Macaca fascicularis: one gene and its partners. The protein of the gene in region 1 purifies or fractionates together with the protein of each later gene. This does not show direct contact. Links are inferred from orthologs where the notes say so. Each region holds a gene or a part of one and is shown in the gene's direction. Other genes may lie near its edges. The genes, in order: SHC1, GAB2, SOS1, KDR, AP2M1, RET and PRKCD.

Evidence for each region.
Region 2: the proteins of SHC1 (region 1) and GAB2 purify together in Homo sapiens (affinity purification with western blotting; 6 studies listed by BioGRID and IntAct, with this or other methods). This does not show direct contact. The link is inferred for Macaca fascicularis from reciprocal best matches to the Homo sapiens genes SHC1 and GAB2.
Region 3: the proteins of SHC1 (region 1) and SOS1 purify together in Homo sapiens (affinity purification with western blotting; 14 studies listed by BioGRID and IntAct, with this or other methods). This does not show direct contact. The link is inferred for Macaca fascicularis from reciprocal best matches to the Homo sapiens genes SHC1 and SOS1.
Region 4: the proteins of SHC1 (region 1) and KDR purify together in Homo sapiens (affinity purification with western blotting; 3 studies listed by BioGRID and IntAct, with this or other methods). This does not show direct contact. The link is inferred for Macaca fascicularis from reciprocal best matches to the Homo sapiens genes SHC1 and KDR.
Region 5: the proteins of SHC1 (region 1) and AP2M1 purify together in Homo sapiens (affinity purification with mass spectrometry; 3 studies listed by BioGRID and IntAct, with this or other methods). This does not show direct contact. The link is inferred for Macaca fascicularis from reciprocal best matches to the Homo sapiens genes SHC1 and AP2M1.
Region 6: the proteins of SHC1 (region 1) and RET purify together in Homo sapiens (affinity purification with western blotting; 4 studies listed by BioGRID and IntAct, with this or other methods). This does not show direct contact. The link is inferred for Macaca fascicularis from reciprocal best matches to the Homo sapiens genes SHC1 and RET.
Region 7: the proteins of SHC1 (region 1) and PRKCD purify together in Homo sapiens (affinity purification with mass spectrometry; 3 studies listed by BioGRID and IntAct, with this or other methods). This does not show direct contact. The link is inferred for Macaca fascicularis from reciprocal best matches to the Homo sapiens genes SHC1 and PRKCD.

The regions. Positions count from the first base shown.
Region 1 is NC_088375.1:106,179,118-106,182,152, forward strand, and holds part of SHC1 (SHC-transforming protein 1), read left to right. Parts: coding exon 1-72; intron 73-1,345; coding exon 1,346-1,544; intron 1,545-1,631; coding exon 1,632-1,701; intron 1,702-1,783; coding exon 1,784-1,918; intron 1,919-2,080; coding exon 2,081-2,319; intron 2,320-3,035. UniProt on the Homo sapiens protein: Signaling adapter that couples activated growth factor receptors to signaling pathways. Participates in a signaling cascade initiated by activated KIT and KITLG/SCF.
Region 2 is NC_088388.1:77,317,322-77,321,361, reverse strand, and holds the start of GAB2 (GRB2-associated-binding protein 2), read left to right. Parts: upstream 1-1,240; 5' UTR 1,241-1,342; coding exon 1,343-1,420; intron 1,421-4,040. UniProt on the Homo sapiens protein: Adapter protein which acts downstream of several membrane receptors including cytokine, antigen, hormone, cell matrix and growth factor receptors to regulate multiple signaling pathways.
Region 3 is NC_088387.1:83,039,229-83,043,234, forward strand, and holds the start of SOS1 (son of sevenless homolog 1), read left to right. Parts: upstream 1-1,206; 5' UTR 1,207-1,836; coding exon 1,837-1,923; intron 1,924-2,053; exon of another isoform or gene 2,054-2,177; intron 2,178-4,006.
Region 4 is NC_088379.1:78,793,592-78,797,091, forward strand, and holds part of KDR (vascular endothelial growth factor receptor 2), read left to right. Parts: intron 1-159; coding exon 160-501; intron 502-2,665; coding exon 2,666-2,812; intron 2,813-3,145; coding exon 3,146-3,277; intron 3,278-3,500. UniProt on the Homo sapiens protein: Tyrosine-protein kinase that acts as a cell-surface receptor for VEGFA, VEGFC and VEGFD. Plays an essential role in the regulation of angiogenesis, vascular development, vascular permeability, and embryonic hematopoiesis.
Region 5 is NC_088376.1:96,097,113-96,100,482, forward strand, and holds part of AP2M1 (AP-2 complex subunit mu), read left to right. Parts: intron 1-1,019; coding exon 1,020-1,285; intron 1,286-2,346; coding exon 2,347-2,429; exon of another isoform or gene 2,430-2,789; coding exon of another isoform or gene 2,790-2,828; intron 2,829-3,026; coding exon 3,027-3,162; intron 3,163-3,262; coding exon 3,263-3,370.
Region 6 is NC_088383.1:52,371,225-52,374,724, forward strand, and holds part of RET (proto-oncogene tyrosine-protein kinase receptor Ret), read left to right. Parts: intron 1-111; coding exon 112-353; intron 354-1,569; coding exon 1,570-1,765; intron 1,766-3,500. UniProt on the Homo sapiens protein: Receptor tyrosine-protein kinase involved in numerous cellular mechanisms including cell proliferation, neuronal navigation, cell migration, and cell differentiation in response to glia cell line-derived growth family factors (GDNF, NRTN, ARTN, PSPN and GDF15).
Region 7 is NC_088376.1:116,296,965-116,300,972, forward strand, and holds the start of PRKCD (protein kinase C delta type), read left to right. Parts: upstream 1-1,208; 5' UTR 1,209-1,428; intron 1,429-2,238; exon of another isoform or gene 2,239-2,364; intron 2,365-4,008.

The DNA.
Region 1 (3,035 bases):
TGGCCAGGCCTTTGAGTTGCGCTTCAAACAATACCTCAGGAACCCACCCAAACTGGTCACCCCTCATGACAGGTGAGCAAGTGGGGAGAGTGTGGAGCAGCTTTTGAGACCAAGATTGGGAAAGGAGGGCTGTTCTTCCCACACTTGAGCTGAGAGGTTCAGGGAGGGAATAACCTGTGTGCCTCTGCTTCCCACTTCCTGCTATTCTTCTGTTTCCTGTGGCCCAGGAGCAAAGGCTTTTGAGGCCCTGCTTGCCGCAGGGCCAGCTTTTCTTGTTTGCTCATGGTGGAGCTGTAGTCCGGGGCCTCCAAGTTACATCTCTCTCTGGCTAGGTGGGATTTTCTATTCCCATTCCTCTTTCTTGCTCATTTCTCTGCTTGGCATTCTGTGTTTTCCTGCCTCTAGAAGCCATCAAGACTTTGGGTTTGGGAGGATATCTCTTTTCCCTGAGATTACAATCTTTCCCACCTCAGGCCTTGAGGGATAAGCAGTGGAGCCAGTAGGGATTGAATATTTAGGAGAGGTAAAATCTGGAGCTGGAGCGCCTCCCTGCTGACGCTGACACACACACGCGCGCACACACACACACACACACACACACACACACACACACACCCCATAGTGCTTCTGGAGCTGGAGCGCCTCCCTGCTGACACACACACACACACACACACACACACACCCCATAGTGCTTCCCTTCCTTGTTGGGAGAGAGCACAGAGATCAAGAGCAAAAGCATTACTTACTTATTTTGAGACAGAGCCTTGCTCTGTAGCCCAGGCTGGAGTTCAGTGGTGCAATCACAGCTCAATGTAGCCTTCATACCCTGGGCTTGAGTGATCCTCCCACCTTAGCCTCCTGAGTAGATGGGACCACAGGTGCATGCCACCACACGTGGCTGAGTAGTAGTATTTTTATTTTGGTAGAGATAAGGTCTTGCTATGTTGCCCTGGCTGGTCTTGAACTCCTAGGCTCAAACAGCCCTCCCTCCTTGGCCTCTAAAAGTGTTGGGATTATAGGCGTGAGCCATTGCACCTGGCCAAGGGGGACGAGCTTTAAAATCAAACCTGAATTTAAATCTGAGCTTAGCCGCCTTTTAGTTGTGAGACCTTGGGCAAATCTTTTCACCTCTGACCCTCATTTTCCTCATATGTAAAATTGGGGAAGGAAACAATACCTACCTTATGGGGTTGCCAGGAGAATGAAATGATTATGTATATAAAACACTCAGCCTCAGGCCTAATCCACAGTAAATACCCAATAGATGGCTGCTGTTCTATTCCCTCCTCCCCTCCTCCTGCCCACCACACATTTACAGCTACACCTTCACTGTCCTGTCCCTCAGGATGGCTGGCTTTGATGGCTCAGCGTGGGATGAGGAAGAGGAAGAGCCACCTGACCATCAGTACTATAATGACTTCCCGGGGAAGGAACCCCCCCTGGGGGGGGTGGTAGACATGAGGCTTCGGGAAGGAGCTGCTCCAGGGGCTGCTCGATCCACTGCACCTAGTGCCCAGACCCCTAGCCACTTGGGAGCTACACTGGTAAGTTGCTTGGATGGAGGTGGGCTGGGCCTAGGGTGGGAGTGGTTGTTTAGGGCTTCTGGTCTCACCTTATTTTTATCCCTGCAGCCTGTAGGACAGCCTGTTGGGGGAGATCCAGAAGTCCGAAAACAGATGCCACCTCCACCACCCTGTCTAGGTATGAAGGGAGCTGAGATGGACAGAGCCAGGGAGTGCTGGAGGCAGGGCTGGGGATCACTGTAGAACCTGTCTTTCCTCAGCAGGCAGAGAGCTCTTTGACGATCCCTCCTATGTCAACGTCCAGAACCTAGACAAGGTCCGGCAAGCAGTGGGTGGTGCTGGGCTCCCCAATCCTGCTGTCAATGGCAGTGCACCCCGTGACCTGTTTGATATGAGTGAGTGCTTGTCTTTCCTCTCTGCATCTCCACCTTTCTACTTGGTTCTGGCCCTTCTCCTGCCTATCTGCTCTTTCCTTCCTGACTTCCCTTCCCTGAAGTCTGGGTCTTGGGTGTGTGTTGTGTCTGCTACTTTCCCTCACCCTCTGTCTACACTTCCAGAGCCCTTTGAAGATGCTCTTCGGGTGCCTCCACCTCCCCAGTCAGTGTCCATGGCTGAGCAGCTCCGAGGGGAGCCCTGGTTCCATGGGAAGCTGAGTCGGCGGGAGGCTGAGGCACTGCTGCAGCTCAACGGGGACTTCCTGGTGCGGGAGAGCACGACCACACCTGGCCAGTATGTGCTCACTGGCTTGCAGAGTGGGCAGCCCAAGCATCTGCTACTGGTGGACCCTGAGGGTGTGGTGAGTGTGGCAGAGGTGTGGGTGAGGGGTGGCAGAAAGGAAGGTACAGTACCCTACAGTGTATCCCTGTTCCTTCCCTCATTGCTTTCTAGACATTCCCGCTAGGCAGCTCTCTGTGGGCCTCTCTTGCTCTTTAGGGTGTCTGGCATCTTCCTCCAGGGGCTCATCCCTTAGCCTGAACTGTGTTCTTTATAGTCCTGGCACTATAGGGCTGGGCGTGGTGGCCCACACCTGTAATCCCAGCACTTTGGGAAGCTGAGGCAGGTGAATCACCTGAGGTCAGGAGTTTGAGACCAGCCTGACCAATATGGTGAAACCCCATCTCTGCTAAAAATATAAAAATAAGCTGGGTGTGGTGGTGGGCACCTGTAGTCCCAACTACTCAGGAGGTTGAGGCAGGAGAATTGCTTGAACCCAGGAGGCAGAGGTTGCAATGAGCTGAGATCGCACCACTGCACTCCAGCCTGGGTGACAGAGTGAGATTGTCTAAAAAAACAAAACAAAACAAATACAGTCCTGGCCCGTCCTCAAATCCCCAAGCCTTATCAGAGCTAGAAGGCAGTCATCTCATCTGTGCCCATTTTTACAAATAAGGAAACCACCCCGAAGAGGTTGTGAGGCCCAATGTCACATGGTTAAAGGCTAGACACTGCAAGTTTCCTTTCGTAAGAAGATCCAAGGGCTTCTCCAGCTCCTCAGACTCAGGAGTCAGACCA
Region 2 (4,040 bases), on another chromosome or scaffold:
CTGACTGCTAAAACTCCTAGGGTATCTAGAAGAGCTAAGTACGTGATAGCGGATTCGCTTTTCCAAACTGAGGAGGGTGAACTTCCCCCAACCCAATCAAGATCTGTTGGACCAAATGATGTCCAACTGCTTGAAACATCTCAGCTGCACAGAGACAGAAATGAACAAAACAGCTTTAGTCTAAGGTTGTGTGGGGCAGTGCAAGATGCTGCTTCTCCAATTCATCTGTCCACACAGCACGGTTCCCCATTGAATAAACAGGATACTATCCACTTATCAGAGAAGTTAGGGAGGACCTGCCTTTTAATGCTGCTTGGAGAGACACTGTCAATGAGCGGGGACGTTGGGGAATTTGGACCCCAATTTCTTGTTCTTCTACACTTGACCTTGCCTTCCAATTCACTATGAAATATATTTACTAGGTTTGCTTCTTCCATTCTACAAATCATGCGAGTTTTCTATACTTAACTGTTTTCCTAGAGGCAATGTAGGAGGGACTCAGCTGGACTTTGTTTCCAGGCAATGAGAGGCTCCCAGGTTGATCCCATTAAGGCAATGCCCTCATTTTGAATAGGGGATGACTGGGACCCCTCCTCCCCCACACACCTGAATTGGAAACTTGGCTAGGCTTTGTACAAGCCCTTGCCCTTAGGCAGTCCATAAAATGGGAACAATACTGAAGACAATCCTGTAAGCCAAGAGTGCAAAGGCTCCGGCGCGTAGTAGGTCCGTCTCCTCCTCCCGCCGAGGGGCGCCAGAGTTAAGGAACTTCTTACTGGGAAGGGGTCCCTCCTTTCAGCAGGAACCTGACCCGCAGAATGGATCGGAAACGCGAGCAACCCTCGGATCCCTTCCCCGTCGACGCTCGGTGAAAAATCGATCGACGACGGAGGGCGCGCAGTCCCTTCTCCGCACGCCCGCCAGCGCCAGGGGCGCGGCCGCCTCCCCGGCCTCCGCGCCCGCAGCTTGAGGCCTCAGGAGAAAGCGAGATTCCGGGGCTCGCCGGCGGCGGTGGCTTTCTGTGTCCTGGCGGATCCCCAGCCCCGCGTCCGCGTGCGCGGCGGCCTCGGGGGCGCGGCGGGAGCGGGCGTGGCGAGCGCGCCGGCCTTCCCGCTGCAACTGCCCCCGCGGCGGCCCGGCGGAGAGTGCGGATTGCGCGCGCTCGGGGCGGGGGAGCGGGCGCGCGCGAGGCCGCCGGGCGCGCGCCGCGCCGCCTAGTCCCCGCCGGGCCGCCCGCCCCGCCCCTGGCCTCCCGCGAGCTGCGCACCGCCGGCCGCTGCCCCAGCTGCCCGAGCCCGCGCCCTAGTCCGCGCGACCCAGCGGCGGGCTCCAGGCCGGCAGCATGAGCGGCGGCGGCGGCGACGTGGTGTGCACCGGCTGGCTGAGGAAATCGCCTCCCGAGAAGAAGTTGAGGCGCTATGTGAGTGCGGGCGCGGCCGCCGAGGGGCGGGCGGGCGGGCGGGGGGCGCTCCGGGGCCTGCGGAGGGGCGGGGGGCTCCCGGAGGGGCGGCAGGCTGGGGAGCTCGGGCCCGGAGCCGCGGGGGCCGGGGGCGAGGAGCGGCCAGGGTCGTGTGGGGTACCTGCACACCTGTCACAGGTGCGCCGCCGAGGGGCGGGGCGGGGCGGGCGGCAGGTTGAGGCTGCGGCTCCTGCTCCGCCAGGCGGGCGCGGCGTCGGCGCCTCCCCAGGCGGTCTGCCCGTAAACTAAATATAGTGTCGAAGTTTGTATTGATGGCTTCTGGAGACCGAGAGAGTTGACTCTCGGGGCTGGGGCTCCGCGGCGGCCCCTAGCAGCTTCAGCTCACAGGTCCGGGAGAGGGCGGGAAAGGGGGGCGTAGGCTGTGGGCCCGCGCGGACGGCCCCACAAAGGGCGAGCGCCTCACGCCCTCTCCTTCCCTTTCTCCGCCCGCCCCTCCCGGCCGCCGGCCTCACTCCGTCCGCGGCTGCATCACCGGCAGCGTCAGCGGCATGTGCAGCCCTTGTATTAAGTGACTCATTTGTTTGTCCCCCTTCTCTCCCTTTATTCCGTTCGTCTCTCACAGGCGCCTCCCCCGACCCCGGTGTGACACTGCAGTTTGGTCCCCGTGGCTGGCCCGGGTTTGGGACCTGGCAGCTCCCGGTTGTCTGGGGTCGGGAGAGATCGAGGCTCTCGGCGCCCAGGTGTTGCCAACCCACAGTGTTTACTGACATCGCTGGAACAGCCTCTTCCCTCTAGGTGGGGAACTGGCAGTTTGGGGGAGGTGGAACGGCGTGGCGCTGAGCCGTGGAGTTCTGGCTTTTTTTTTTTTTTTTTTTTAACCCCTCTCCCCAGAGGATGCCTTGCCTGGTGAGGTCAAAGTACAAGATGGTGCCAGTTACTGAGATTTTGCCGAAATGGTCCTGGGGTAGTCGCGGGAGTTTGGAAGTGGGGGTAAGGTGGCTGGAAGGTTTCAAGGTCTCTCATCTGCTCCCTCTCCTTTTCCCATGAAATGCCCTTGTTTAACGGGCTGTGGTGCCGGACTCCGGGATCACTCCCACAGCCTGGAAGGGAGCCGTTGCCTCCAGCTGCAGTGCATCAAGGGAGCTCGGAATAGACCCTGCCCTCTGTCAGCTGCACCAGTGGCTGTCCATGGGGGGAGAAGCAGAAGCCTACCAGAATTTCCTGTCTTGGCTCCCCAGATCAGAATCAAGGGACTTCTGGCCTCTGGACTGAGGAAGTGACATTCTGTTTTTCAAAGGAAGTGTTGTTGTTGCGGAGTGCAAGTGTGTGTGTCAATGAAATCAGGCTCTTACGTAGATGTTTGCTAGGAAAAAAAAAATTCTGATTTAGCACATGACTTTTGAAAGTGGACGTGGATTTATAGGAGGGATGAAGCAGTGAATTGTTCATCTCAGTTTGAAAGCTCATTTTTAGGAGTGTCTATGTAGCCAAAGTATAATTATTAAGAAATACACTTTTTTCCTCTTCAGGCTTGTATCAGTTCGTTAGGAAGGTTGAATACTTTAATTAGGATTAAGGAGCAGTGATTTACTATTAACAATTTAATAAATATTTTTAAAACTTTGTCCCAAAGAGCTTCCAAAAATTATCTTTACAAATAGATTTCCATACAAGCTAGTGGAATAGAGTGTCCACAGTAAAAAAAAAGAAAAAGTGACCCTTAGTTTTCAAATTTGAACACTACACTAAACCTTGAAACTTGTTTTTGAAACAATTTGCAAACAGTATGACATTGTATCTCCATTTGACTTACCGCTCCTTGAACGCTCACCCAGACTCTCTTTATGACCCATTTCTTGGGTGTTTTTGTTCCCAAACAACTTTAGTTCAAAAAAACCAGGTTTGGAGGCATTTGGGTCAAGCACCTTTTTCACTCATTTGAACGAATCTAGAATCGTGTGATGGCCTTAGCCTCTCTTTCCCATCTTCGATGCACCTTCAGCCCATCAGGTGTCAGACCTTAACAGCTTTCAGTAACAGCTTTTCTTAGGCCAGGATGTGATGTGTTCACTTACATGACTGGAAGCCTCTGCCCTTTCGAAAGTTCAGTTTCCCCCCAGTTGAAACTGCTGATCTGTGTAACCTTAAGCTTCCGGGGAACAGTATTCTTTTACGTCTACTGTTTTTGGGGGTATTAAGAATTTTTGCATCCTGTTGTAAGTTAAAACTCTGCTAGTTTGCTTATTTCAGTAGAGGCCCGAGTTCATCAGAACCAAACTTGGAAAGTATTTCCCAGCCTAATGGCTGTATATTTACCCCAAAGTAGCTGCTGCTTCTGGTATACATCATAGTCATGTTATATTGTACTGAGAAATCCTCTTTATAAGAATGCCACAAGCATATGAGATAAGGGGAAAAAGTAGTTGATGAACTAGGTTATAACTATTTAAAACGATTTTTTTAAAAACTGATTTAATTCGAAGGCTGGGCGCAGTGGTTTATGCCTGTAATCCCAGCACTTTGGGAGGCTGAGGCCGGCAGATCACTGGAGGTCAGAAATTCGAGACCAGCCTGGCCAAAACCCCGTCTCTACCATAAATACAAAAATTAGCTGGGCGTT
Region 3 (4,006 bases), on another chromosome or scaffold:
AATTTTTGTATTTTTAGTAGAGACAGGTTTTCACAATGTTGGCCAGGCTGGTCTCGAACTCCTGACCTCAGGTGATCCACTTGCCTCAGCCTCCTAAAGTGCTACAGGCATGAGCCACCTCGCCTGGCCGGCCTGTATATTTTTAAAGGAAATAACCTAAGAGTTTTTTCCAGATTTTCAAAGAGGTCCTGTAAAGATTAAGAACCACTGAACCTTTCTCGTTTGCCTGATCTGGTTACTGTTCTCAGGAATAGGAGGACACAATGTCAGCTTTAACCCAGGCTAGTTCCTCTAAACTGCCTTATCGGTGAAATGAAAATAATAGGGTTGCTATGGGGATTAAATGAGATGATACTCAAAAAGTGATAATTAATGATAAATCATAAGGTGTCTGCCACAAAGTGCCCCTATTATAAACAAACAGTGGCCTGGAGGGACAGTTTATAAATACTGCTCCTTTAGCATTCCACTAATATTCACTGAGTGCCTGTTCTGTGTAGAGGCCCTGGTGAAAAAGATCGGCCTTCCAGTATATTATCTAGTCGAAAGAACCTCAAAAGATACAAAACACGATAGACTGAACGCCCTGAGAAGGGCGTAAGTGCAGTGCTCTAGGAGCTGTAGAAGAGGTCTCGATATCCACTGGAGGAAAGTGTTTATTGGAGTTCATATCTGGAGTGGGTTTAAAAGATGAACAGAGGGAATCTAAAACATACACACAAAATCAATACTACACGTACACATTTTATTCTTGGTTTTGTGGAAAGACCAGTTAGAAACACTGCAATCACTTCTACTACTCAGCAGATACTGAGCAGTAGGTTTCGTGACAGAGCACCTGTATCTTTTGTCCAGTCTGTTTACTATACATTGCGTGCTCTGGGCAGTCCTTATCTTCGTGTTCAGGAACAAAGTACACACACCCCTTTCCGAAACGAAGGGCCCAGGGATTCCGAGAGGGGTGGGAGCCCTCACGGCCAGACCACACAATGGGGAGCCTCTTTACCCTAGTTATCACCCACCCCTGCAGGCTCCACTTTGCCAGGGTTCGACTTCTCGGGTCCTTTCGCCCCTCCCCTGCAGCCCCCAGGAGCGCAGCAACAGCCTGGCCAGGCGCCCTCCCTCTCTCTCTCTCGAGCTTCCCTCCTCCTTCACCGGGAGCCGGAAAACCCGGAGCGAACCAGCCCAGCCCGGCGGCGCATGCTCAGTAGCGAGCAGGTTCAGTTCGCTAGTAGGAAGCTCTAGCGCTACACCGGCGGCGGCGGCGGCGGCTGCGGCGGCACCTCAGGGCAGCCAGATTCCCCAACAACGACCTCGGGTCCTTCCCCTTCCCCGTGAGACCCCCGCCCCAGCTCAGCCCCGCCCGGGGCTCCTGCGTTTCGGGGTACCAACTGAGCAGAGCGGGCGCCGCGGCCGGAGCGTACCTCCACACGTCCTCCCCCAGCCGCCAGCTCCGCCGCGGGGCCAGGCCGGGCCCGAGAGTGCAGCCCCGGCGGGCGGGCGGGCGGCGGCCGCGGCAGAGGGCAGCCCCGGGCGGCGCCGGCGGGCCGGGGAGGAGGCGCGGGGGGCCTGGCCCCGGGGCGGTGGTGCGGGATGCCGCCGCCTCCGGGCCGCGTTCGTTCTCCACAGTTGGTACCCGTGTCGGGTGTGTGGCCGGGCGCGGGCCTCGCCCCCCAGCCCCCTCACCAGGGCTAGCCCGGCTGCGCGGCGCCCGGAGGGGGCCGGGCCGTCCGGTGGGGCCGCGGCCCTGTTCCGTGCTGCGATCTCGCCCTCTCGCAGCTCCCCGGCCCGGCCGCCGCCGCCCCTCTCCCCGCCCAGAGGCGCCCCGGGGGCACCATGCAGGCGCAGCAGCTGCCATACGAGTTTTTCAGCGAAGAGAACGCGCCCAAGTGGCGGGGACTGCTGGTGCCTGCGCTGAAAAAGGTGAGGAGCACGCGGGACCCCGCTTCCCGGCCGCAGCACCCCAGCGCGGGCGCCGGGCTGGCGCTGGGGAAGGGCTGGGGAGGCGGGGCGCGCGCAGGGCTGTCTTTCTTCCCGGTCTCGCCGCGTCTCCAGAAGGACGGCGCACACTGAGAGGCTCGCCATACGGCTGGCTCTCAGTGTTGACATCCACCGGGTGTGTGGGAAGGCCGCAGGGAGCTGGCGGGAGTTTATCCGAATAATCCAACCCCTGAGAGGTGAATGCTTTGCCCTTTGATTCCAAGACAACAGTTGCAGGAGCCTCAGTTTTCTGCGGAGGTCAAAGCAGGCCACCTTTCCGCCTTCTCGGTCTTAGCGCGGAGCTGCTGTCAGCCTGCCGTTTTAGGTGTCCAGTACGCTCGTTTTAGTGGCTTTTCGAGAATGCCCTGGCCGTAGTGCTTGCTCAAAGGAATTGCGAGCTCGCCTGCCAGCAGTAACGTGGCCTGCTCTGTTCGCCATCAGCAATCACTCCTCATTCTCCTGGTTTCCCCCGCTCCTCCGATTAACAGGGGCCGGTGCACATGCTACCAATTTCGGGGTTTTTTTGTTTTGTTTTTGCAGCGTTAGAAACTTGGTGCTGTCATTTGGTTAAGAATTTTTAGCCTTTGTATGTTTAAGTTTGCTACATTGTTACATACCCCCGATCTGTGCTTTTAAATGTTTTAGTATAATTAGGAAGTGTTGTTACATTTTTAAAGCTTCTAAAGCAGCAGTGTGACTACCAGACTATTTTTGTTTCCTTTTCTTCATTTACCTTTTCTGTAAAGATTGCTTTACTCTTCTAATAGTGTTTCTAAATTCCAGTTTCTTGCTGCTTAAAGAATGTTTCATGCTAACTGCTTCTACTAAGAATGGAGATTAATGTTGTACCTTTTATGCTAAACATTAAAAGCTGTCTGATATTTCTCAAAGGCCAGTAACTTTTACTTTCCCTTTTGCCCTGTTCTCCTCCTGTCCCTCTTGCTGTCTTACAGTGGAAACTATTTGGTTTGTCAGGAGTATTTGCTCATATATTTCTGACTTAAGTTACGGACATTTTCCCCTTCAAGTGTCTGACTAGTCACAAACATCTATGTGTTTTTTTTTTTTTTTTTAAAGAAAACCAAAAAGATGCCATGTATCTTACATACTTTACTCCTTAGAAATCCCATCAGGCTCTCACTCCTTACTTTTGCTTTACTTGCAAGTTTGGCTTCTCAGCTTGCAATGGAATGGGTGTAGGACGTCTCTGTGATGCTAGAAGCTGGTGTCCGGATAGGGTAAGAGAAGACAGGGAAATTGTTTAAAAATCTGTAAAGGAACTCATAAAGTATTGCCAAATAGGGGCCATTTTGCTTAGAGGCAAAAACAGCTGCTTTCTTAGGGAATCACCAAGCTATCAGCTGAGAATTCTTTGAAGTAGTGGAAAGAATATTGTAGGAGTTGACAGACCTTGTTTTAATTCTGCCACACTGGTGGCCCTTGCTGGAATCTGTCCACAGAAGCATTTTGTTTGGCTGGCACAGTGTGGTTTTATTTTCAAATGTAATTAGTTGCTAATATTTGAAAATGGGAGATATTACATAAAATCTGAATTTTCTGCTTTTCTTGACGAATAGGAAGGTCTTGTCATTTAGGGTCTGTATTCAAGCGAGGCACTAAACTGCTGGAGGTGAGTAAATGGCTGCCTTCTTTAGACAGGTCGTGTATCTCCACCTTACCACAGCCCCCACTTGTCCTTTTTGCATATTTACATAAACCAGCTTTTGACTTTAAGCTAGAAATATTTTTGCAGTAGAAGTGATAAGAGGAGGTGGAAGTGTACATAATCTAGCTGATATGTAAGGTTCTTCCAATTCTTATTTAAATATCCACTAACAATGATTCTAAACAAGGTTGAAAATACAGTATATTTCATATCTGGATATGTTGTTGGTAGCTCAAAACCTACGTTTTTACCTGCCTGCTGGACATTTCATGTGGATATCTCCATATCTTGATTTCTTCCTTTGATTTATTATTGAATTATTTGTAGATGCATCCAACTTGTGTTCTCTTACTCTTACCT
Region 4 (3,500 bases), on another chromosome or scaffold:
CCTGAATTGTCTAGTTTGTTTGTCAAGTTGTAGTACATCACCTGGAACTGATAGAGCTTCATTTCTTTTGGTACTTTGTAGTAGTCTGAAAGCAGCAAGATGATAGTGAGCTATACCAAGTTAAATCACCATTCAGTAACAATGGTCTTTACATTTTAGGGGGTCCTGAAATTACTTTGCAACCTGACTTGCAGCCCACTGAACAGGAGAGCGTGTCTTTGTGGTGCACTGCAGACAAATCTACATTTGAGAACCTCACATGGTACAAGCTTGGCCCACAGCCTCTGCCAGTCCACGTGGGAGAGTTGCCCACACCTGTTTGCAAGAACTTGGATACTCTTTGGAAATTGAATGCCACTATATTCTCTAATAGCACAAATGACATTTTGATCATGGAGCTTAAGAATGCATCCTTGCAGGACCAAGGAGACTATGTCTGCGTTGCTCAAGACAGGAAGACCAAGAAAAGACATTGCGTGGTCAGGCAGCTCACAGTCCTCGGTAGGGAGACAATTCTGGATCATTGTGTAGGGGCAGTTGGAATGCCTTAAATGTAGTGCAATTCAGGTGCTATGCGAAGATTACTGTTCTCTAGGAGATCGTGTTGTAAACTGGTGCGCACTTCTTCACTGAAAGTCCCTGAGGCAGAAAGAAGCTACTAATAATGAAATGATGTATTGAAAAGAGAAAATAACAAAACCTGATGATGGAGTAATTCACTAGTATATGCAAGGGATTAGCTTGAACCAGGGAAACTTCTGCCTTATCTTGGGCATCTATTTATTTAAACAGATGCATATTTGTGGAATGCCTGTTATGAGCTAGGAGAGTGTCAGAAATTCACAGTGGTAAACATGAGGGAAAGGAGGGGAACATAGGCAATCACTGGGAAGTCACAGCACAGTGAGGTCTCTGTGTCCGTGAGGATAGGAATTGTTCTCTGTTTTGCTCCCTGCTGTAGCTCTAGTCATACAGCATAGCAGCATACACTAAGTGCTCAAAAGGGCACCTGCTTCATGAAGAGTGGGATGATGGACTGAGTTTAAGACCTAGAAGATTCCATGGGAAGAAAGCTACATTCTCTCTGTACCTCTGGGTCTGTCTGTACCTCTGGGTGAACCTACATGGTCCAGCATGGTCCAAGGTCAATGGGACGATCACTTCAGTGAGCAGATAGCTCTGTAAATTCCTCCATAGGGGCACTCTCTACCCCTTGTCTAACCTCATGCCTTGTGCAAAAACTGGGCAGCCATGGCTCTGTCTGTGGGAAAATCAGGCAAATTTGGGGAGCGTCTCTTTGCGCCACTTCTCTCTATTTTCTCCTCTTTTGGTGTCTCTTTCAATTCCTAGGATATATGTGCCCTCTGTTTTTTTTTTATCATTAGAAAGGAAATTGCCCAAGTAAATTCATCTATACCACGGTTTGAGGGTAATGTCTTCATCAGAGGCCTTGACGTATTTGAAGAGGCAGCTTCTGACAGACACTAGCATAAAGTTCGCTAGTTTTAAGACTCAGGTGTCATAAGAAGAGATACTTTGGGGTCAAGTCATCCCCAGGACCCTTCAAGTCACACCACATAGTTCACCATGGATTTTCTGTTGGCTGGTCTGGCTTCAAGGTTATGGAAGAATTGAGAAAGAGATGTGAAGTAGGCTCCTGGCCTAGCTTTGCCCAGAAAAATATGTGCTCACAGTTAGCTGGTTTGCTTCCTTAAGGACTCCTAACTTGTTTTCCTAAAATCTATTCTTAGAAATAGGCTAGAATCCAGTACATTTGCTTAGACTTCAATGTAGTACGCTGTTGAGGTAATCTCATTTTGCTAAGTGTTGAAGTGGATTTTTTCAGCATGATTCCTTTTGATGTTCAGTTGGTTGGGACAAGATATTTCCACAGCACTTTGATGATCTGAAGAAAGAATAAATCTAAAGTTTTCTTGTACATTTAAACAAATACTCATGGGCTTCATTTTCTTTAAATCCATGACTTCCCTTAGGGTATTGTTGTTTTGCTTGTGTTTTAGTGGAAATAGCACTGAACTGGTCTTTTAGCCTCACCAGATTCAGTAAACAGTTCAAGTGTTTACTTAGTTGTAGGGACATGGACAAGTAGTTTAATGTCACTGAACATCATTTATTTCATCTGTGAGATAACACTAACAGTCCTATTCTGCTCATTACGTAAGATCAATAGTGAGGAACACAAATTGTATAAACAAACTTTATAAGAATTGCCAAATAAATGTAAGGCATTATTTGTTGAATGATACTAAAATTTGGCACTTCCAAGAGAAATTTGAAGGGATTCTAGGGTGTCATTGACTAGAACCTTCACAGGAGGGAAGTTTTCAGCTGGGGAGGCTGTGCCTGATTACGGGAAAAATCCATAGAGGTGACCCTGAACCTTTCTTTTGTGATGGGATGACCAGCTAGTATCACTAATATGAATGTTAAAAGCCGTTAATCTGTTTGCAGTGTCCTGACTGACTTGTTTCATTTAACTTTACCCAGTGACCAATGGTGCCGTTATTAACTTCTGTGTATGTTCAACCTAATAAATCAACAAGTTTCTTTTTACTAAATTTAAACTGTTTAAAAGTTTGGTGATACTAGAGCCATTTCAAAAGTTTTAATTCCATGTTCTGTGATTTTCTTTGTGTGTGTCTAGAGCGCGTGGCACCCATGATCACAGGAAACCTGGAGAATCAGACGACGAGTATTGGGGAAACCATTGAAGTCTCATGCACGGCATCTGGGAATCCCCCTCCACAGATCATGTGGTTTAAAGATAATGAGACCCTTGTAGAAGACTCAGGTAAATAGAACTTGGCTATTACTCTTGGGTTGCAGAACTTTCCCAGGGATATGACATAAAAAGCTATGTTATTTCTTGATATAATGTAGAAAAAAAGCAGTATTGGTGTCCATGGCCTGGCTGATTTCATACACTTGGAATTGGAGTATGGGGCCTTGCTGAATTTTCATGAAAGCCATATAGGAGATTAGTCAGCAGTAGATCCCATGTGACTCTACGAAGTTAGACAATGGAACAAGATGAAGGGCAGCATTTATAGTTTCTAAATTTCCCTAAAAAACTTCACAGACCACATCATCATAAATGAGAATGATCATTTTCTTCCTCTCTTAGGCATTGTATTGAAGGATGGGAACCGGAACCTCACTATCCGCAGAGTGAGGAAGGAGGACGAAGGCCTCTACACCTGCCAGGCATGCAGTGTTCTTGGCTGTGCAAAAGTGGAGGCATTTTTCATAATAGAAGGTCAGTGGGATAAAAAAAATGTGGTACATATACACCATGGAATGCTATGCAGCTGTAAAAAGGAATCTGATCATGTCCTTTGCAGCTGCATGGATGGAGCTGGAAGCCGTTATCCTCAGCAAACTAACACAGGAACAGAAAACCAAACACCACACATTCTCACTTATAAGTGGGAGCTGAACAATGTGAACACATAGACACAGGGAAGGGAATAACACACACT
Region 5 (3,370 bases), on another chromosome or scaffold:
TGAGATAAAGTCACAGAATGGGCCTGTGGCAGTGCTCCTCATTTGGCTCCCTGGCTGATGGGCTGGCCTGGCCCTTGCGGGTGTTTGTCCATTGGCTGGTGGTGTGGCATGAGTTAGAGCTGCAGCTGTGGCAAGGTCTGGCCTGCCTGAATCTGGCTGGCTACACCCCCCACCCCCACCCCCGGCCCCCCTCCTGCGTTGGATGGACTAGGCAAGCCAAGGCTGGGTCACACGCCACCTTGCCTGTCTTGTCTGCTTCCACCTCACGGTGTGTGCTGCCCTCCCGGTGTGTTGTGTGTCTAACCCTCTCTCTCGTTGCTGTCACTCTCCTCTTCTTGCTGGCGTCATTTCTCTCATCCCATCTCATTGACTGCCGTAGCAATAGGTAAGCGGCCTCTCAAGCTGCTGCCCAGGTACAGGTGGGTGGGGGCCCTGCCCCCATCATTGTTTTCCTGCATCCTTTTTCATTCCCTGAACTTGCTCTGGAGTTGGATCCTGGGCAAGAATGGGTAGCACAGTTCCATGGCCCCTTGGTACTTCCTCCTTTGTGACTTCTGAAGCCATGCTGGCTTTGTATAACATCTGGAGGAGTCGGCCCTCCCCACTGGTGGGATCACTAGTGGGAGGACTGGAGAAGCAGTGTCTCTTTCTGTCCTGGACCTGGGAGCTTACAGGGAAGCTAGATAAAGCTGGGAAATTAGGGCCAGCCCTGGGAGTCAAGAATATCTGTCTCTAAACCTGATGAACCTCACTTTATTAAGGTTACATCGGCCTTAATAGTTGACTTCCCTATTTCTTGTGGCCTTTAGACACTAGCCCAGCTCAGGCACTCTTCCCATGCCTCCACAGGGAGTCATAAGAAGGGAACCACCCCAGTGGTTTAGGCATTGGCTTTCTTTAGATTGTGTGTGTCAGACTTCTGCAGAAAGGTGGGTGGAGCTGTTAACAGCTGTGGTTGATCCTTGTGGGGTAAGGTTCGCCTGGGTGCTGAGCAGGCCCTGTGCACCCTTTCCCCTCAGGAGGAACGCAGTGGATGCCTTTCGGGTCAATGTTATCCATGCCCGGCAGCAGGTGCGCAGCCCCGTCACCAACATTGCTCGCACCAGCTTCTTCCACGTTAAGCGGTCCAACATTTGGCTGGCAGCAGTCACCAAGCAGAATGTCAACGCTGCCATGGTCTTCGAATTCCTCTATAAGATGTGTGACGTGATGGCTGCCTACTTTGGCAAGATCAGCGAGGAAAACATCAAGAACAATTTTGTACTCATATATGAGCTGCTGGATGGTGAGGCTGGTGGGCTGGCAGGGCAGGGGGCCTAGGGTGGGAAAGAACCAGGCTGGGCCTGGCCTGAAAGTGGGTGTAGGTCCGAGGCTCTGGTACACTCTGAACTTTCTTTCCTGAGTATCTGGGCTCTTGGACTAGGATCTCTATGCCCCTCAGAAGGCCAGTTCACATCCAAACCTAAAGGCTGGTCTGAAGTAGAACACAGAAATAGGCCAGCAGGTGTGGAGGGGAAGTTTTGGTCTTCCACGGGGCTAGGAACCTGACTCAGGTTTGGTGGTGAGCCTCCTGTATTCATCCTCTTTCCTTTGTGGCTTGGACCTTACTTCACTGACTGTCCACCCAGTTTTCCATCTCAGCAGCTGCTTCAGAGCCTGGGGGAGACTGAGATACTACAAGCCTCTGGGGGTGCACTGTTACCTCTGTTTCTCTGTAGAGTGTGATCTAAGGGAAGGTGAATCCTTCCACCTTCCCATTGTCTATTTTCTGGAGAAAACAGCTCAAAGCTTCTTGATTTGCCACCCACTGGCCATGTGACTCTTCTATTGATTTCTTTTTTTTTTTTTTTTTTTTTTGAGACAGGGTCTTACTGTTGTCGCCTATGCTGAGTGCAGTGGTGTAATCGCAGCTCACTGAAGCCTTGACCTCCCAGGCTCAAGCAATCCTCCAGCCTTAGCCTCCTGAGTAGCTGGGACCACAGGCACATGCCACCATGCTTGGCTCATTTTTACTATTTTTTGTAGAGCTGGGTCTCGCTATGTTGCCCAGGCTGGTCTTGAACTCCTGGGCTGAAGTGATTCTCCCACCTTGGCCTCCCAAAGTGTTGGGATTATAGGCATAAGCCACTGCGCCTGGCCTTGATTTCTCTATTTGAAAAAATCAAACATTTGAATTGTTTTCCTGTAAAGCACAAATCACAGAATAAATGCTACAAAGCTAGAAGACTTTGTTGCAGATGATCCCACATGGTCTTTGGGAGCTGTGCCAGTCAGACATGTGTAGGCCCAAGTAGGGACTGGAATGAGAAGGTTTGTTCAGGGGCTGATGGTTCCCTTCTTTTTCAGAGATTCTAGACTTTGGCTATCCACAGAATTCCGAGACAGGCGCGCTGAAAACCTTCATCACGCAGCAGGGCATCAAGAGTCAGGTACTTGAATTGTGCAGACTATAGTCAGGGTGCAGGCCAATCTCCCTTCATCTCAGCTGGCCCCTGAGCCTTGTCTGAGCTGACTCATAAGCCCTCCCATAACAGGAAGTGCTGGCCTGAGCCTCCTGCCATGATTGCAGGCCTATTTTGCTCTATGTGGTCCTCCCACTGCAGGAGCAGCCAATTCAGCATCTCTGTTACCAGGAATACAGCTCAAGCAGTTTCCTTTTGCACTGAGGGTTGGGGGAGGAGGCCTGGTCTTGAGGCCTGGTGTTCCTCAGGAGGAGAGAGCTTGGGCCCTCTCCTATAGGATCCAAGCCTCATAGCTTTCTCCTCCTTTTCTGCCTCCCTTGCTACTTCATGTGGGCACCTCGTTGGCCCTGCGGCCTCCAGCATCAGGTAAGCCCTTCCCTTAGCTTCCGCCCTTGCAGCTTTGCTTTGTTTCTCCAGGCCCTGCCCTTTGGGGCTTATAGGGGAAAATGGATTACAGGTGGGGACTAGAAGGGATGGGGAATGAGGGTGGAGTGGGGATAGAGACAGGATGATTAAAGGGAGAGGGGAGTGAGGCTCTTGCTGTTTGTTTCTGCTCCCATGTAGACAAAAGAAGAGCAGTCACAGATCACCAGCCAGGTGACTGGGCAGATTGGCTGGCGGCGAGAGGGTATCAAGTATCGCCGGAATGAGCTCTTCCTGGATGTGCTGGAGAGTGTGAACCTGCTCATGTCCCCACAAGGTGAGGTCCCTCTCACAACAAAGCTGGAGGGGGACCAGGGCAGGATCCTGGGTCTGCCTGCCTGACTCTGCTGCTCCCCATTTATCTGTTCCATCATCAGGGCAGGTGCTGAGTGCCCATGTGTCGGGCCGGGTGGTGATGAAGAGCTACCTGAGTGGCATGCCTGAATGCAAGTTTGGGATGAATGACAAGATTGTTATTGAAAAGC
Region 6 (3,500 bases), on another chromosome or scaffold:
CTGGCGTGCGGTGTGCGCCCCGCTCTGACCGCAGAGCCCCCTTCCCGAGAAAGGCGGCTGGCCCGGTCCCGGCTGGCGATCACGCGGGGCCCCTGTCTGCTTGGTGCGCAGGTGAGGGTCTGCCCTTCCGCTGCGCCCCGGACAGCCTGGAGGTGAGCACGCGCTGGGCCCTGGACCGCGAGCAGCGGGAGAAGTACGAGCTGGTGGCCGTGTGCACCGTGCACGCTGGCGCGCGCGAGGAGGTGGTAATGGTGCCCTTCCCGGTGACCGTGTACGACGAGGACGACTCGGCGCCCACATTCCCCGCGGGCGTCGACACCGCCAGCGCCGTGGTGGAGTTCAAGCGGAAGGAGGTGCTTGTTCGCGCGTGCTGTGGTCTACCCAGTGTTTGTCTCCCGCCGCAGTTCGTTTCTCTGTCAGTTTAGTGTCCGTGTAGCCACCCAATCATGTGGCCGACCATTCACGCGTTCATTTGTCCTTCGTCTCCGTCGGCCCCCTCTGTCCTAGGGGGAGGAGAAGGGGGAGTCCTGTCAGCACCCAGCGGGGTCTTGCCTTGGGAGGCTGGGAACCCTGGGTGCCCAGTCTGGGACTGACCAGGATGAGGCCCGAGGGCTCGCGTCTGGGGCACACTTGTGCCGCTGCAGGCGGGCGCGGCGCGCTGCCCGGGCGGGGAGCATCTGCCGGGAGGGCACTCCCTCCCACCAGCAGTCAGCCCCCAATGGGAGGGCCATTGAGTGACCAGGAGCGGTGCCGGGGATTGGAAAGGGACAGGAAGGCGGATCGCCGCCGGCCCGGCCCCGCCCCGCCCCTCTCCGGTTCGCGCTGATGGAGCGCCACCGCCACCTGCTGAGCCTCAGGCCTTCCTGCAACCGGCCCACTCCGCCGGGGCCGTGGGAGAGTGGGCGTGGAGACTGAGGTAGTGCGTTACCTTGTGCCGCTTCTCTGGGCACACCACGTGCAGGTTTGGCAGGGAAAGGAGGTCTGACCGAAAGTACACCTTGTGAGTAAAGGCTGTGTGGGCCTCCCTGGGCCGCCTAGGGGTGACAGCAGAGGCCTGGTGCGCAGAGCCATCCCAGGTGCCCCGCGGCTTTCCTCACAACCCCCTCCAGCCTGGGGGAGGAGGATGCTTCGAGCAGAGTGCTTTGATGTACACCTGGCCTCGGATCTCGGCTCTGCCATCTGTTCCTGTGTGACCTTGACCTGACCTTCACCCTGTAGGGCCCAGCTTCCTCAGGGGAGAGTGGAGGTGCTCATTCTGCTCTCTAGGGACCTTGATGGGACCTGCCAGCAGGGTGCCTGGGCATCAGCTGTAATTCTCCCTATAAGAGGTCTACATTGCACCTGTTACACAGAGGGTCAGTGGCTCAAGGAAGGTGACTGGGCCAGGCTGGCCAGTGACCCCGTGGGAACTTGAATCTAGGTCAGACAGTCCCCATACCTGGCTCTGACAACGCACACCTGGTCCACCTGTGGGCTGCGTGGGACGTGCAGCATCCTGAGGTCTCTGGTTTTGGGGGGTCTGAGGGGCCACTCTCACCTGCACTGACCAACGCCCTCTGCATCCTGCAGGACACTGTAGTGGCCACTCTGCGTGTCTTCGATGCAGACGTGGTACCTGCGTCAGGGGAGCTGGTGAGGCGGTACACAAGCACGCTGCTCCCCGGGGACACCTGGACCCAGCAGACCTTCCGGGTGGAGCACTGGCCCAACGAGACCTCAGTCCAGGCCAACGGCAGCTTCGTGCGGGCGACCGTACATGACTATAGTAAGAGGGGCTGGTGGCATGGCCTGGCTGGGCCCCCAGGAAATGAAGTGCTCGTTCTTCATGGGCAAGCAGCACCCCACACACATGCACACCTGGCATGGCCCTCTGTGGCCCAAGCCACTTCCCCTCCACCCTCTTCGAAGCACTTCCTGTGTCTCTGCCAGGCCTGCCCTCCATCCACCAGCAGGGCTTTCACCATGGGTCCTCTCTTCCTGAGCTGCACCATGGCCGACCCTGGCAGGGCCCTACCACACCCCCATGCTAACCTCGCCAGGGCTCACCACTGATTGCAAACATACATGTCACCTGAGGCTTTCCTCCCGCCCCTGGCACTCCATCATTGCCCCTAAGGTATCTCAAATGCTTAGGGATTATTGCTCCAGCCTTATCAGCTCTCTGCTAAACAGTCTGGTATACAGAAGCAGCCCTGAGCCAGGTCAGGGCTTCTGAGCCCATTGTCCTGCCTGACTCCTGACATGTGCCACCATGCTCACCTGCTTGCAGGGCACCTTTCAGCTGAGGCCTTGCTTCCTGCCTCCCTCCCCCACCTCCTGCTGATTTCTCCTGGGATGGCCTTCCAAATAAACCACCTGCATTTGGGGTCTGTGTCTGGGGGAACCCCGGGCCATGGGTCCTTCGCCCCTTTCTGCCTGGCCTGGTCCTGTTCATTCCTCAGTCCTCCCCACCTCACCAAGCCTATGGAGGCCCCACCTGTCAGAAGGGAGACAGCCTCCTTGCCCTGGCACTGAACACCCTGTCTGCCAGAGTGCCCCTCCCATCATTGTTTCTACCGCATGAGAACTAGAGCGGAAGCACGCGGCAGGTACACGGACGGCATGACTTCCAAGGCTTGGCCTGCAGGGTCATTGGGTCTGCTGGAGGCTCCTGCAGTGGAGGGGAGTTCTCCCATGCTCTGGGGAAGCTGTTTGGAGGGCTCTAGCATGTTCTTCCCAGGGCCTTGGTAATGCAGACCTTTAAGCCCCCATGTCACACACACACACACACACACACACACACACACACACACACACACCCTGTTACCCCCAAAAAACGAAACTCTGTAAAACATTTTAAAGAGGTTTATTCTGAGCCAGGATGAGTGACCACAGCCTGGAGAAAACACAAACCCAAGAAACCTTGAGTAAGTGGTCCCCAGGTCCAAGGTGGTGGGGTTACAGTTTGCTTTTATACATTTTAGGGAGACAGGAGTTATAACCAAGGACATAAATCAACACTTGGAAGGTATGCATTGGTTTGGCCCCAAAATGCAGGGTATCTTAAAGCAGGGGCTTACAGGTTAGAGGTACATGCAGAGATTCTTTAATTTACAGTTGGTTGAAAGAGTTAAGCTTTGCCTAAAGACTTCAGGTCAGTACAAAGGAATGTTAAGGAGGCCTGCTATGTGTCGCGTGATGCTATACAGGGTCAGGATGGAAAGTAAACCGCGTTATACCTGGGTAATAAAAAAAAAAAAGGTTTTTAACAAGATTTTATGGGCCAGGCATAGTGGCTCACACCTATAATCCCAGCACTTCAGGGAGACCGAAGCGGATGGATTGTTTGAGTCCAGGAGTTCAAGACCAGCCTGGGCAACATGGTGAAACCCTGTCTCTACAAAAAAATACGAAAAATTAACTAGGCGTGGTAGCACACGCCTAGATTCCAGGAACCTGGGAGGCTGAGGTGGGAGGATGGCTGGAGCCTGGGCGGTTGAGGCTGCAATGAGATGCAACAG
Region 7 (4,008 bases), on another chromosome or scaffold:
CTTTCCCAAAGGATAGTCCTGGAACCCACCTGGTCTGACCTTTTCTCCCCATCCATCTTCCCCAATCTCAACCCAGGTGGCTGACAACATGGCAGCCCTTCTGTCCCCCATCCAGCCTCTCCTCTGCCCTGCAGTCCCTCTGCCCCATCTATCCCGCAGGAGCCCTCTAGAGCCTGTCGTCCTGACTGATTGTAACAGCTTTCACCACCTTCTCATTGCTCCGTAAGAAGACCAAAGTCCAATAACCTGTCTCTGTCACAAGCCCCTTTCTCAGCTCAGGCCACCTCTGGGATTGTCCCCCACTTCCATCCCTTGTGTTTAGACTTTCCCTATCCCTTCTAGGTGGTTCCCCAGGACCTGGAACCCTCTTTTTTGTCTCCTGGGAAGTGACATTTCTTTGGATCAGTATAAGAATAATGTCTTGGCTTTCTGAGCTCTGGGGACAGGGGAATGGACACCCTAGAACCCCAACTGGTCCCTAGACTTTGAGCCTAGGGGACACTCGATGAATAGATGGATGAGTGTATGAATGAATGAATGAATGAGTTATGGCTGACAACCAAGTTCCACGTCTGGAAAGGAGGCTCAGGCGCCTGCCAGGAGCAATAGAGAGGTCTCGAAGATGGGGGCAGGAGAGCAGAAGACTGCCAATCGGGGTAGGGGCAACTGCCAGTCGGGGTAGGGGCAGGTCCCAGAACCGCCTGAGGAGCAGTGCAGCGGCCGACCAGCGAGAACCTCCGGCCCTGGAGTGTAACCAGCTCAGTCTTTGGGGCAGAGCCGGGACAGCGGGCTTGGCGGCGGGCACCGAGCCCGGCCGCGTCCGAGTTCCAGCCAACAGGAAGAGCAGGAGTGGGGCCAAGGGAGGCGGGCCAGCTGGCTAGTGGGGAGTCCCGGGCGTGGGTGTGGGGAGCGGGGGAACCCCCGCCGGCGCCTCCCAGGCCCCAGCGGGCGGGGGGCGCCTCCTTATCGGGCCTCAGCGGCCTCCTCTGTAAAATGGGCCCCTTCTGAGGGCTGGCTGCGCGTAATGGCGGGAGGATGCGAAGCGGGCCACAGAGGGCAGAGGGGCCGGGAGACTCAGTGTCCCGCGCAGAAAGAGGCAGAGGGACACAGTCCCCGGTTGCAGCTGGTGGGGCGGGGCCTGGAGGGGCGGGGCCTGGAGGGGGCGGGGCCGGCGGCACCTGGGTGAGGTCGCGCCGCCCCGCCCCCTCGCACTTCCGTGTGCCGCGGCGCCGGAGCCCGAGGCTGCTGCAGCCCAGATCCCCCGAGCGACCCCCGGCGCCCGCCCGCCGTGCCGAGGCCCGGGCCACACCTCACTGGCCGCTGGACTCGTCCCAGTCAGCGCCGCGCCGACCGCCGTCCGCGCGCGCCAAGGAGCCGCCCGCCCGCCACCGCCGCCGCGACCCTTGGCGCCTGCCCCTGCGCCGGGAGGTGAGTTAGGGCCGGGACCCGGCGCGGGATCGGGGCTACCCCGAGGGCGCGACGCCCTTTCTTCCCCTCCCCGGCCCGGTTCCCGTTTCCGAAACTGAGAAACTGAGCCGCGGTCAGCGAAAGTCCCTCCGCGCCGAGACATGCCGGTGACTCCGTCCCCCCGTCCGTCTGTCTGTCCGTCCCTCCGCCAGATAGTGGGGGCTGAGGTCTTTCTGTCCGCCCGCCCGTGTGTCTCCCGCTCCTCCGAGAGGCCCGTCCGTCCTTCCCGACTGTCTCCTGGGCCCTGTGACCGTCCGTCTGTCGCCACCCACTCTGTGTTCTCCCCCTGCGCGCCTCTCCGAGACCCGATCCGTCTGTCCCTCGCCCTCCGCGTGCTCCATCGCCCCACCCCCACCCTTACCCCCGCCGGCCGCCCCCTCGATCCCGTTCTCCCGGAGCCGCGCCCCCGGCCCACGCTTGCCGCCCCCTGCCGGTCCAGCCGCCTATCCGCTCTACCGCGGAGCCCAGGCCAGGCCGCCCGCCGGGCCTCGCCTCCCGCCCCTGGGTCCCTGGAGGCCCGACTCGCGCGGCGCCTCCTCCTCGCTGTCTCTTCTTTCGGTCTCAAGAGTCTTTCTCGGTCCCTTCATCCGTCTCTGGGCTGGGCGTGGCTCCAGTCTCCACCATCCCCCTTACTGCCCCACCCCTCCGCCCCTCTGAGACCCCTTCCCAGGGTGGCCCCTGCCCGGTGTGGTCTGCACCCGCCCCCAACCCAGATGCCACTCGCGTTGTGGGGGCTCTGCCAGGTGAGGGGAGGGAGGGGGAAGTCCTCCTGGCTGGTGGTGGAGAGGCAGAAGGAGAGCACCATCGGAACTGCTCCCACTTCCCCAATTCCCTCACTCTTGGGGCACAGGAGAGCCCCACTGAGCCCCCACTTAAACCTGGTCAGAAGGATTTGCTGTGAGTGTGTGGGGGGGTCCCCTTCTCTGATGCCTACCCTGTATGCATGGACGCTATCTCCTTGTGCTAAGTCACTGGTATCTGGGTGTGTGGGTTGTCTGTGTCAGCTTCTGTGCTGTCACTGTGGGACTTGCCTGTGCATGTGTGTCCTTTTTCGCATGTGTGGCTTGCTTGTGTGTATGTGTGTATGTCTGTTTGTGTCCTGAGGCTCTGTGTGTGTCTTTTGCAACTGTGTGTACCATTCTTGGTGTTTTTGTTGTCACCAGACTTGTGTGTGTGTGTGTGTCCTTGTCTGCCAGTGTGTGTGTCCCTGTGTGTCTGGAGATTTCAGTGTTGCATACTGGGTATATCATGGTGACCAACTGCCCACAAGTACCTTAGATCTGTTAATTGTGGAAGCCCCTGGTGTTGGGTGCCTGCCCACCAGGCTCATGTGTGAGTGTATCTGTATGAGTGTGTGTATGTGCGTGTACTCATGTGTGGCTCTCCCTCTGCCACTGAGCTTCTGTGACCAGGCTCACCTGGTCACTAAGGGAGGGGACTGATCCCTGGGGTTTCCTCGTTCCTACTGTGGAGTGAGCTGGGGCGCGGTGGGCAGGCCAACAGAGGGAGGCTGTATGGCGCATGTGTGATGTGTGCAGTTGTGTGTGTGTGTGAGACAGAGAGGTGTGGAGGTGTCTGGGCAGCTGTACCTGGCTGAGGGGTGGTGTGAGGACTATGGGATGGGACGGTACTGGGGTAAGCCTGGCAGTGTGTGGTCATGGTAGGAGTGTGTGACTGGTGGGACACAGTCTATGCTTGGGGAGTGACTGTGATTGTGGGGAACGGAGAGTGCCTGGGCGTGGGTGTTAGCGGCAGGAGGGGGTGTGACAAGGTGTGTGGTGACAGTGCTGGGAGGGAAGGTGAGAGCCCAGTATGGGTGTGTGAGTGTGTGGGAGACCATGAGGATGTGGGTGTGCACATGGAGAGGGCTAGAGGGCAAGTCTTGGGGTTAGCAGTGTTGTGACCAAGACCTCGGGCTCTGGATCCAAGAATGATTTGGGCTCCAATACTTGCTTGTGCCTGTTAAGAGCAAGAGACCCAAGCTAGGCCTCTCAAGGCTGAGTGTCTTTATCTGCAGAATGGAGAAAGTTGTGTGGACAAAAGGTCCTGAAGTCTTATGTTGTCACCACCCCCGGCTATATGGTTCCCATTCTCCTGGGAGCTGGGGTTAAAGAAAGCCCAGACAGTATCCAACCCAATTTCCTGCCTGTCTGTTGCCCCTTCCCATCTCCTTGACCAAGCAGCTTGAGGGAGGGAGGATGCCCAGACAAAGCCCCTAGTACCCAGCCCTGTTCAGCCTGCATGACAGCCCCTCCCTCACCAGCCGTTAGTGTCAGTAGCAGCAATGGGGGAGAGAGGGGTGGGGAGTGATTCAGAGCTGTGACTGCAGGGCGCTGACACCATTTAGCTGGCACAGTTTAGATTAAAATTAGAAATAATTTAAAGTACAGACGAAAAGATAAAGCCAAGGATGCCTCTATCCCCAGGGAATGGTGATGAGGGTCTCCAGCTGGGGGAGGGGCTCACATCTGGGGAGCAGAATCTTTCTTAGAGGCTTGAGCTGGCTGTCAGAAAAAATGCTTAGGCCTTTCAGCCAGGAGA